Mytilus edulis: one gene and its partner. The protein of the gene in region 1 interacts with the protein of each later gene in a pairwise test. Links are inferred from orthologs where the notes say so. Each region holds a gene or a part of one and is shown on either strand. Other genes may lie near its edges. The genes, in order: U6 snRNA-associated Sm-like protein LSm1 and U6 snRNA-associated Sm-like protein LSm4.

Region 1 (3,939 bases):
GCTTAATCAAAGTATATAGTTCATTTATAACATTCTGTAAATAGCAATGGGGAATCAATAAAGGGTATTCAAGAAATATATTTAAGGGTGAAAAAGATTTTATTCAAAACATCTATCACAGTTTAAGAGCCTTCTTTTTTAACAATAAGAAAATTTTCAATTGTCTTCTATGACTTTATGGTAATTTATATGCCACCTTCTAAAATTTAAATATAATGTCCCAGTTTCTGTGTTCATAAATAAAATGTCCTGGTCTCCAAACAAACACCGGAAGTTTATCACATTTTAAAACTTAGATAATGAGTATATATTCACACAAAACATGGAACTTAGTCTCAAAAAGTTGACATCAAAAGACAATAAGCCAGGTGGAACAGAAAATAAATACAAACCAAATTGGTCAATGCTCCTGAGAAATCCAATTAGTGTTCTGCCGTCTCTTAGTACAACTAGTAACTTCTCTGCAATATTAAAGAATAACATTTGTAGTTTCTGTTAAAATAAGCACAATTTAAAGAGAGATAATACTGGTCCAGAAGACACACCTACATGACCTATTTACATGCAGTTAAATGTTTAATGCCACATTATATCAAACTGCAGAAATTTGGGAAAATAGAACATACATGTACACCAATTGCAAAATCCTTTACTTTAAAAAATACAAAATTTGAACAGTTTAGCTTGCACATTACCCTGTTCTGGTTGCACATGTCATGATGTGTTGATAGACCCTAGCATGTTATATGATTTCATGCAAATTTGTTTAACATGTTTAACTCATTCCCAAATAAAATTTATTATATTTTAAGGAGATAAAATATTTTAATTTTATTATGTCTGTGTATACATGCATGTACAAATGTATTTAATAAAATGATTCTTAAGTTTATGCAATATATAAGTAATTAATTTTTACTTCTTCAAGTAAAAACAATACTTGTACAAGTAGTACCCCTCAGGCCCTGACTTTCATATAAATCTGCTGACTTCATGCCCTTTCACATGTAACACCTGCATCATTATCATATAATAGTACATTGTAGTTCAGCTTAGTTTTTGAGCACTAATATAAACATGATAAATGCTTCTTTGTTCTTTGTCATGCATGAAATTATAACCCATGTCTGTATATCATCAGATTAAAAGTTAAAAGCCTTCAATTTTCAAAAGGGAGGATATTTGGAGGGCATCTTCTTCATGATCTTTGTATTTTTCAATTTAACTGCATTTTTATTATAATTTGAAGGGGAAATGTTGCAATTTTGAATTCTTATGCAGTGGCGGATCCAGCCATTTTAAAAAGGGGGGTTCCTAACCTTGGACAATGGGGGGTTCCAACTATATGTTCCCATTCAAATGCATTGATCGGCCAAAAAAGGGGTGGGGTTCAACCCCAGGGCTCTGGATTTGCCACTGTTATGAATATCTGCGTCACGTTTGTCAAGGCAGTTTTAAAGATGAAATACAAAATTCAAATGCTTATCACTATAAATTGATACCCAATTGTGGGTATAATACCCATAATTAGGGATAGTACATAATCTAGATAGTAACCATTTTATCAGTCCAAATAATTATGACGTCTTGAAAGGCTATTATATGGGGACGAAGTCCCCAATTACGGTAGAAAAATCAATAAAAAAAAAAAAAATCAGGAAAATTTCCCGGATTTTTCATTCTACTAATGAACTCAAAATCGTTAACTTTTTTTTTCAGATCTACTTCCTGTTCCGGTTTTCTCCGCTTTTGCGCAGATATCTGTCTTGTTTGCATGAGACTTTGAAAAAATTTATATTTATCAGTCTAGTAAAATATAAGATTGGATCTCAATACAAATTCAATTTTAATAATTGTTTGATATGAAAAAAACGTTACCTGATGAAAGCGTTTCTTTTGTTTACATCGAATATGACGTCATAACTTAAAGAACGTCACAGCTAATTCCCTAACAACAGAATCAAAATCGTGAACGTTACGTACGGTATTTCGGTTTCTTTTATCAACGTGATTGAATTAAAAAAATAATACATACAGGCTTCCGTCCCCATTCACAGGTTATGCCTGCCTCATATTATCTTTTTTCTTTGACGCCTTACATCGGTCTTGAAAGGCTTTTATTTAATTTTTCGATGTAAGGAGTCAAAGAAAAATATATAATAGCCTTTCAAGACGTCATAATTATTTGGACTACCATAATTTTTATATGGGGATTCTGTCCATGAACATGTTCACGTTTTGACCGTTTTCCTTTGTTCGACATGTCGTATTTTTCTTTTAAAAGTTAATTCCCTTCAACTTATTTGTCTATATTATGAATGTTGACAAACATACTATCTATTTCTTCAATTAAACTTGCGGTGCCAGGTAGGTAACTCATTTTTCACATTTTTTGCAAAATTACAATTTCAATGATCGGTGTTGTTAATTGCTTCCGTGTACTAGTATAAATATCATGATTCCAAACGCACGAGTGACAAAGAGGACAGTCAAGTCTAATACCATAAAGTTAAATATGAAATACTAGATAAAAACGAACAATAAAAAAAATGCTTATTTTTATTGCTGTATAAAAAAATATTTTCACGTTTGATAACATTATAATTTCTTGCATTTTAGGTTATATTTCATTTTCACCTAATAAAAAGAAATGATGGTATGTCGAAAAAAGAATCATTGAATATCAATAAATGTTATTGACATATTGAGGCCGTATTCATAATTAAACTTTTTGAGTTATTTATTCTTTTCGCTTGACGATGGTTGATGGTACGAGGAAATTTCTTATGGTAAGGCTTATATAATAATTATTATTTATATAATTTATGAATACTGAACTTGAACATTTATTGGTCAAATAAGATGTATGTGTACCTTCTACTGTAGTCGGTATAAAAAATGTGGTGTGATTGCCAATGAGACAACTCTCCGCAAGAGAAAAAAAAGACACAACAATTAAGAATTAAGAATAGGCCATTGTGCGGCCTTGAACAATGAGTAAAATCAACACCGCATAGTCAGCTATGAAAGGCCCCAAAATAACTAATGTAGAACAACCCAGAGAGAAAAAACCAACCGCCCTAATTAATGTACAAAATAATGAACGAAAAATGTTTTGAAATACCCGGCAACAATCGACAACCACTGAATTATAAGCTCCTGACTTGGAGCACATACCGAGACTCAGTCAGTATATATGGCGATGGCTAAACTAGTATGAGAAGGCACCCAAACTCCCGGCCTAACCCGAGACAGTACAAAATAAGAACAAACAATAAAAATCAATTAAAAAGGGCCAAACCCAGCATAAATACACCTGTCCTCACAACAACAAAAAAAAACCCAAACATATCGGACGTGGCTGAATATGTGAGCCAAAATTTGTTCCTGTGAAAAAAAGTTCCAGTGGAACTAATATCACTGACAGGAAATATGTTCTGGGAGAACTTTTTTCACAGATGATTTCTATATAATTTGTTCCATTTCTATAGAATAAGTTCCACACTTTACATGGTGAAATAAGTACCGGGTTTGTGAAATTGTTCCTTCCCTAGTGAAATAAGTTCGAGATTTATGAGATTTGTTCCTTACCTGGTGAAACAAGTTCTGGGTTTGTGAGATTTGTTCCTCACCTGATGAAATAAGTTCCTTGTCTGTGATATATGTTCCACTGGTTAAACAAGTTCTCTTATATAAGCATTTGTCATCAATGAGTTTAAAGTTATCATTTAATTGCATTACAAAAATAAGTATTATATCACTAATAAAAAAGTAAAAAGTGTAAATCATCAAATTCGGATCCTGTGGAGTGTGACATCCTACAACTAAAATGCAACAAGTACTAATCAGGGTTAAGTAAAATAAAAACTGAGAGCTAATCCAAACAGAAAGCCGATAACAACAACAAAACATCATGCATATACGACTATAATATCAATC
Region 2 (3,939 bases), on another chromosome or scaffold:
TGAAACAAACAATTTTTTTTTCTCAGAATCAAAAACAAATTATTTTTTTCTCCAAAAACTGGAAACAAACTTTTTTTTCCAAAAAAAACCATAGCCGCCCCCCCCCCCCTCCCCCCCCCCCCCCCCCCACCCCCCCACCCCCAGAAAATCAAATGGTTGCTGCCTTAGATAAACTGTTCTCAGCACCGGGTATAACAAATGTTGACATGCATGATGCTAATCTTCTACGTTCACTATATTCGGTACAAATAACGACTTTTAACTGAGTAACTATTCACTATTTATACTGGGAACGCGGACCTCAAAGAAAGCACCATAGCAACAACTATACTAAAACGCGAACCTCGAAGAGCGCATGCAAGTAATAACTGTACTGGTAAAGCGTCATACATCAACTCTTTTTATGCTGTTTTTTAACGATTGAAAAATCAAATGGGATGATTCATAAAGATGTCAGAAAATACATATAAGTATAGAAATGTTATAACATTCATAAACTGGATCCGCCTATGCGTTGGCACCGTTACGGGTATGTGAACTCTGATCAGTGTTTATAGAATCATTTTTAAAATGTTGCCATTGATAACATAGAAATCATCACTTTCAAGTTGAACAAAAATAAAAAAGGTTTTGCCTCTTCAATTTACATAATTAAGTTAATAAAATTGTGACGAACTGTTTGATGCAGCTTTAATAAGACAAAAAACCATTGAATCATATTTGATTTAATGTATTATTACTTGTCAATGTATAACGACTAACTATCGTAAACCAAAAAAATAAATCTCTCTGCAAACCAAAAATACATGTCTTATAAAACATGATTTTGTCGTCAATGAAAACCGAAATTGCCTATTATCTATAAATTTTGATTACTGATCATTAAATGCAAATAAAATTAAATTGAAAATGATTTGAATATTGGGATAAACAAGCAAACAATTTAGTACATTTCGTTCTTCTTTTATATTCAGGTTCACAACCATACCATAAATGCGCCGGCAAATTCGTAGAAATTTCGATTCAGAAAATGGTACCAATTTAGCATTTAACTGGCCTATTTGTACATGAATTTATGTTTTAGCTTCTTTATTAAGAACAAGAAATGTTTTGTACTTGTTAAAGTAAACTATTCAATTGAAAACTCACAATTTTAGAGAGAGTTTCCAACGACAACACTGTCGTCCGAAACGGGCATGAAGTATTTGTTACTGGACGTTCAGGAAACCTCAATTAATCAATTCAACATTGTCCAATGTATGCAACACATGGTTGGCAAAGTATTACCCGCCCTGGAAAACCCAGGCGGGAAAAACCAGATTTTCCTGGGCTAGGCAATAGGGTATCAGGTCTGTTCGCGCCCAATACATTTTGGCACCCTACACGTACCAGGGGTGTGGAAATGCTATGCCCGACTCGTACATTTGAACAACCGGACAAGTAATTATTTTTGTCTTGGTTGCCCATGGACAAGTAAAAAAATATACAAAACAAAGTTCAATTCCAACAAAAATATAAAATTGATTTCAAAACGTATAAAAATGTTTAATTTATGTAAAAGAAACCAATGGTCAGCAAGTAAAAACATCAATGTTCATGACGATAAACATTACATAATACCGGAAATAGATTGATTACCAAAATAAATTAAAATAAGTATACGAACCGGAGTCACGTAAAATTGCATTGGCTTTGTCCATTGAGCCGGAATCATCAATTAGGTTTTATCCATCATTTACCGGAAGTGTCATTTCTTTCAATTTTGTATAATATTACAATTCAGATTGATAAACACTTAATAAAAAGCAGGGCAAGTAAGACAAAAAGAGTAATGAGTCGAGTAGAAAACCTTAAACGCAAATGGAGAACACAGAGTATTTAAAATATAAAAAAACAGAGAATTTCAGCCATTGTGGATATCAGTTTGCCGCTGGCTATCTAGGATGGAAATTCGCAAAATAAATTAAGTTTTTGTCTTATTTATTGATGAAAGGTCAATATTATGTGTTGTCGAAGTTTCAAATTAGAAGGGACTCTTTAATTGCTCATCAAGACAATAATAAATAATCTAGAACAAGAGTGTCAGTTTAGAGAAACACCACAACATCAATAGTTTAACTATTATTTACTAGTTTGCATTTCTTCAATTACTGTCCACTCCTCAAATTGAGTATATGTACCAACTGGCTACAATCTTTATTCAAAAACTGCTGCAAAATTGTCCTTTACATGTTGTTCATTGGTTGGTTTGCTGTTAGATTTCTGTCCCATTGATGTTAACCAATTTCTTACTTTCCTAATTTTTTTTTACACATATAGACAAATGGATTTCATTTGTTTGTCAGGCACAACAGTGCTTAGTAAGAATCACATATTAGCTAACAAGAAATACTTCAATATTTATTAGGATCATCAGGGCAAGTAACTTTTTTTCCGGACAGGTAAAATTTATAGTTTTACTTGCCCAGGGACAAGTGCTTACAACAAATATTTCCACACCCCTGCGTACGCACCTGGCATGTTCGCATCAAAGGTCTGTTCGCACCCTACACGTTCGCACCCAATTTAAAATCAAAGTCCAGTTGTCTTGAATAATTAGAATATCATGATTGTTGTTTTAAATTGCTTACATACATACATTTTGTAGTGTGAAATAAAGTATTTAATTGTTTAAATTTGAAATGCTTTGCAATCATATTGCTAAATAAACACCCGACAGGGTCATGTCATTAATACTTATAAAAATGAAAAGGCTGATTATTGTTATGTAAACATATCTGTGTCTAATCTGAATAATTACTTATTAATTAGTGATGTACATATACATGTTATAGATTTTGTAGAGAATTATTGAGAAAGGCTTTTTTCATTAATATTTGCCTAATATCACGAATGTGTCTTCATGTACACCTTTCTCATACATTGTAGTTGCTGAAATAATGCTTTCTCAAATGTATACACTTGTATTATAAGAATCTCAAACAAGTTAACTTATTTATAAACAAAATATGTTTATAAATATTTTAAATGTATTGCATTTGTGTTTAATCACTGCCCAGTGTTACCATGTAAAACCCAGTAAAACCTGGGTTTTCCCAGTATTTCCCACTGGGCTGGGCAATACTCTTTTGCCAACCTTAATGCAACATACGAAAATAATGACATTTTCGGACTCTGCAATATACTTGTCTAAACATAATTTCTTTCATTAGAAAGCTAAAACAGAATATTTGCAAACTTCAATAGACAGAGTTGTATACATTTTAACTTCTATTGTGAGGTTTTCACATACAAAAAGTACATGTATCTATGTTTGACAGTGACTACCAAAATCCTTTACCATCATGTTGACCACTTTAAAAGGTTATACATGTGTATAAAGATGATTTGTTGATGAAACCTTTTTTTCAGTGGTCAGATCCCTGTGTTAAATATATGAGCCTGGATACAAATGTAAATAAAACTTTACAGAGTGAATAAATTATCATTATGTGTCAGTAAAGCTCTGTTTTATTTTTCAGTTGCCTTTGTCCCTGTTGAGGACTGCTGTAAATCACCCTATGGTAAGTTTTCAAAATTTTCTCTTCAGTAAAACAACTAAAACTATCATTTGAAAAGTCTGACATTGTTCTTCTCTGTTAAGTTTATCAGTATCATCTGTGATACTATAATTGGAGCTAAACTGTCTTACAAGTGACACAGACAGACATCAAAAGTTACATTTATCAATAGGAACTCATTTTGATGTATCAGTCCCAATTATTTATGTCTCTAGATGACATCAAAAGTTACATATACATATAACAATAGGAACTCATTTTGATGTATCAGTCCCAATAATTTACGTCTCTAGATGACATCAAAAGTTACATATACATATAACAATAGGAACTCATTTTGATGTATCAGTCCCAATTATTTACGTCTCTAGATGACATC

What was found.
Region 2: the proteins of U6 snRNA-associated Sm-like protein LSm1 (region 1) and U6 snRNA-associated Sm-like protein LSm4 interact in binary tests that used the Homo sapiens proteins (3 or more experiments, as listed by UniProt). The link is inferred for Mytilus edulis from reciprocal best matches to the Homo sapiens genes LSM1 and LSM4.

The regions. Positions count from the first base shown.
Region 1 is NC_092347.1:87,966,610-87,970,548, forward strand, and holds the start of U6 snRNA-associated Sm-like protein LSm1, read right to left. Parts: upstream 2,490-3,939; 5' UTR 2,381-2,489; coding exon 2,335-2,380; intron 462-2,334; coding exon 393-461; intron 1-392. UniProt on the Homo sapiens protein: Plays a role in the degradation of histone mRNAs, the only eukaryotic mRNAs that are not polyadenylated. Probably also part of an LSm subunits-containing complex involved in the general process of mRNA degradation.
Region 2 is NC_092344.1:91,104,253-91,108,191, forward strand, and holds the start of U6 snRNA-associated Sm-like protein LSm4, read left to right. Parts: upstream 1-917; 5' UTR 918-1,030; coding exon 1,031-1,033; intron 1,034-3,521; coding exon 3,522-3,563; intron 3,564-3,939. UniProt on the Homo sapiens protein: Plays a role in pre-mRNA splicing as component of the U4/U6-U5 tri-snRNP complex that is involved in spliceosome assembly, and as component of the precatalytic spliceosome (spliceosome B complex).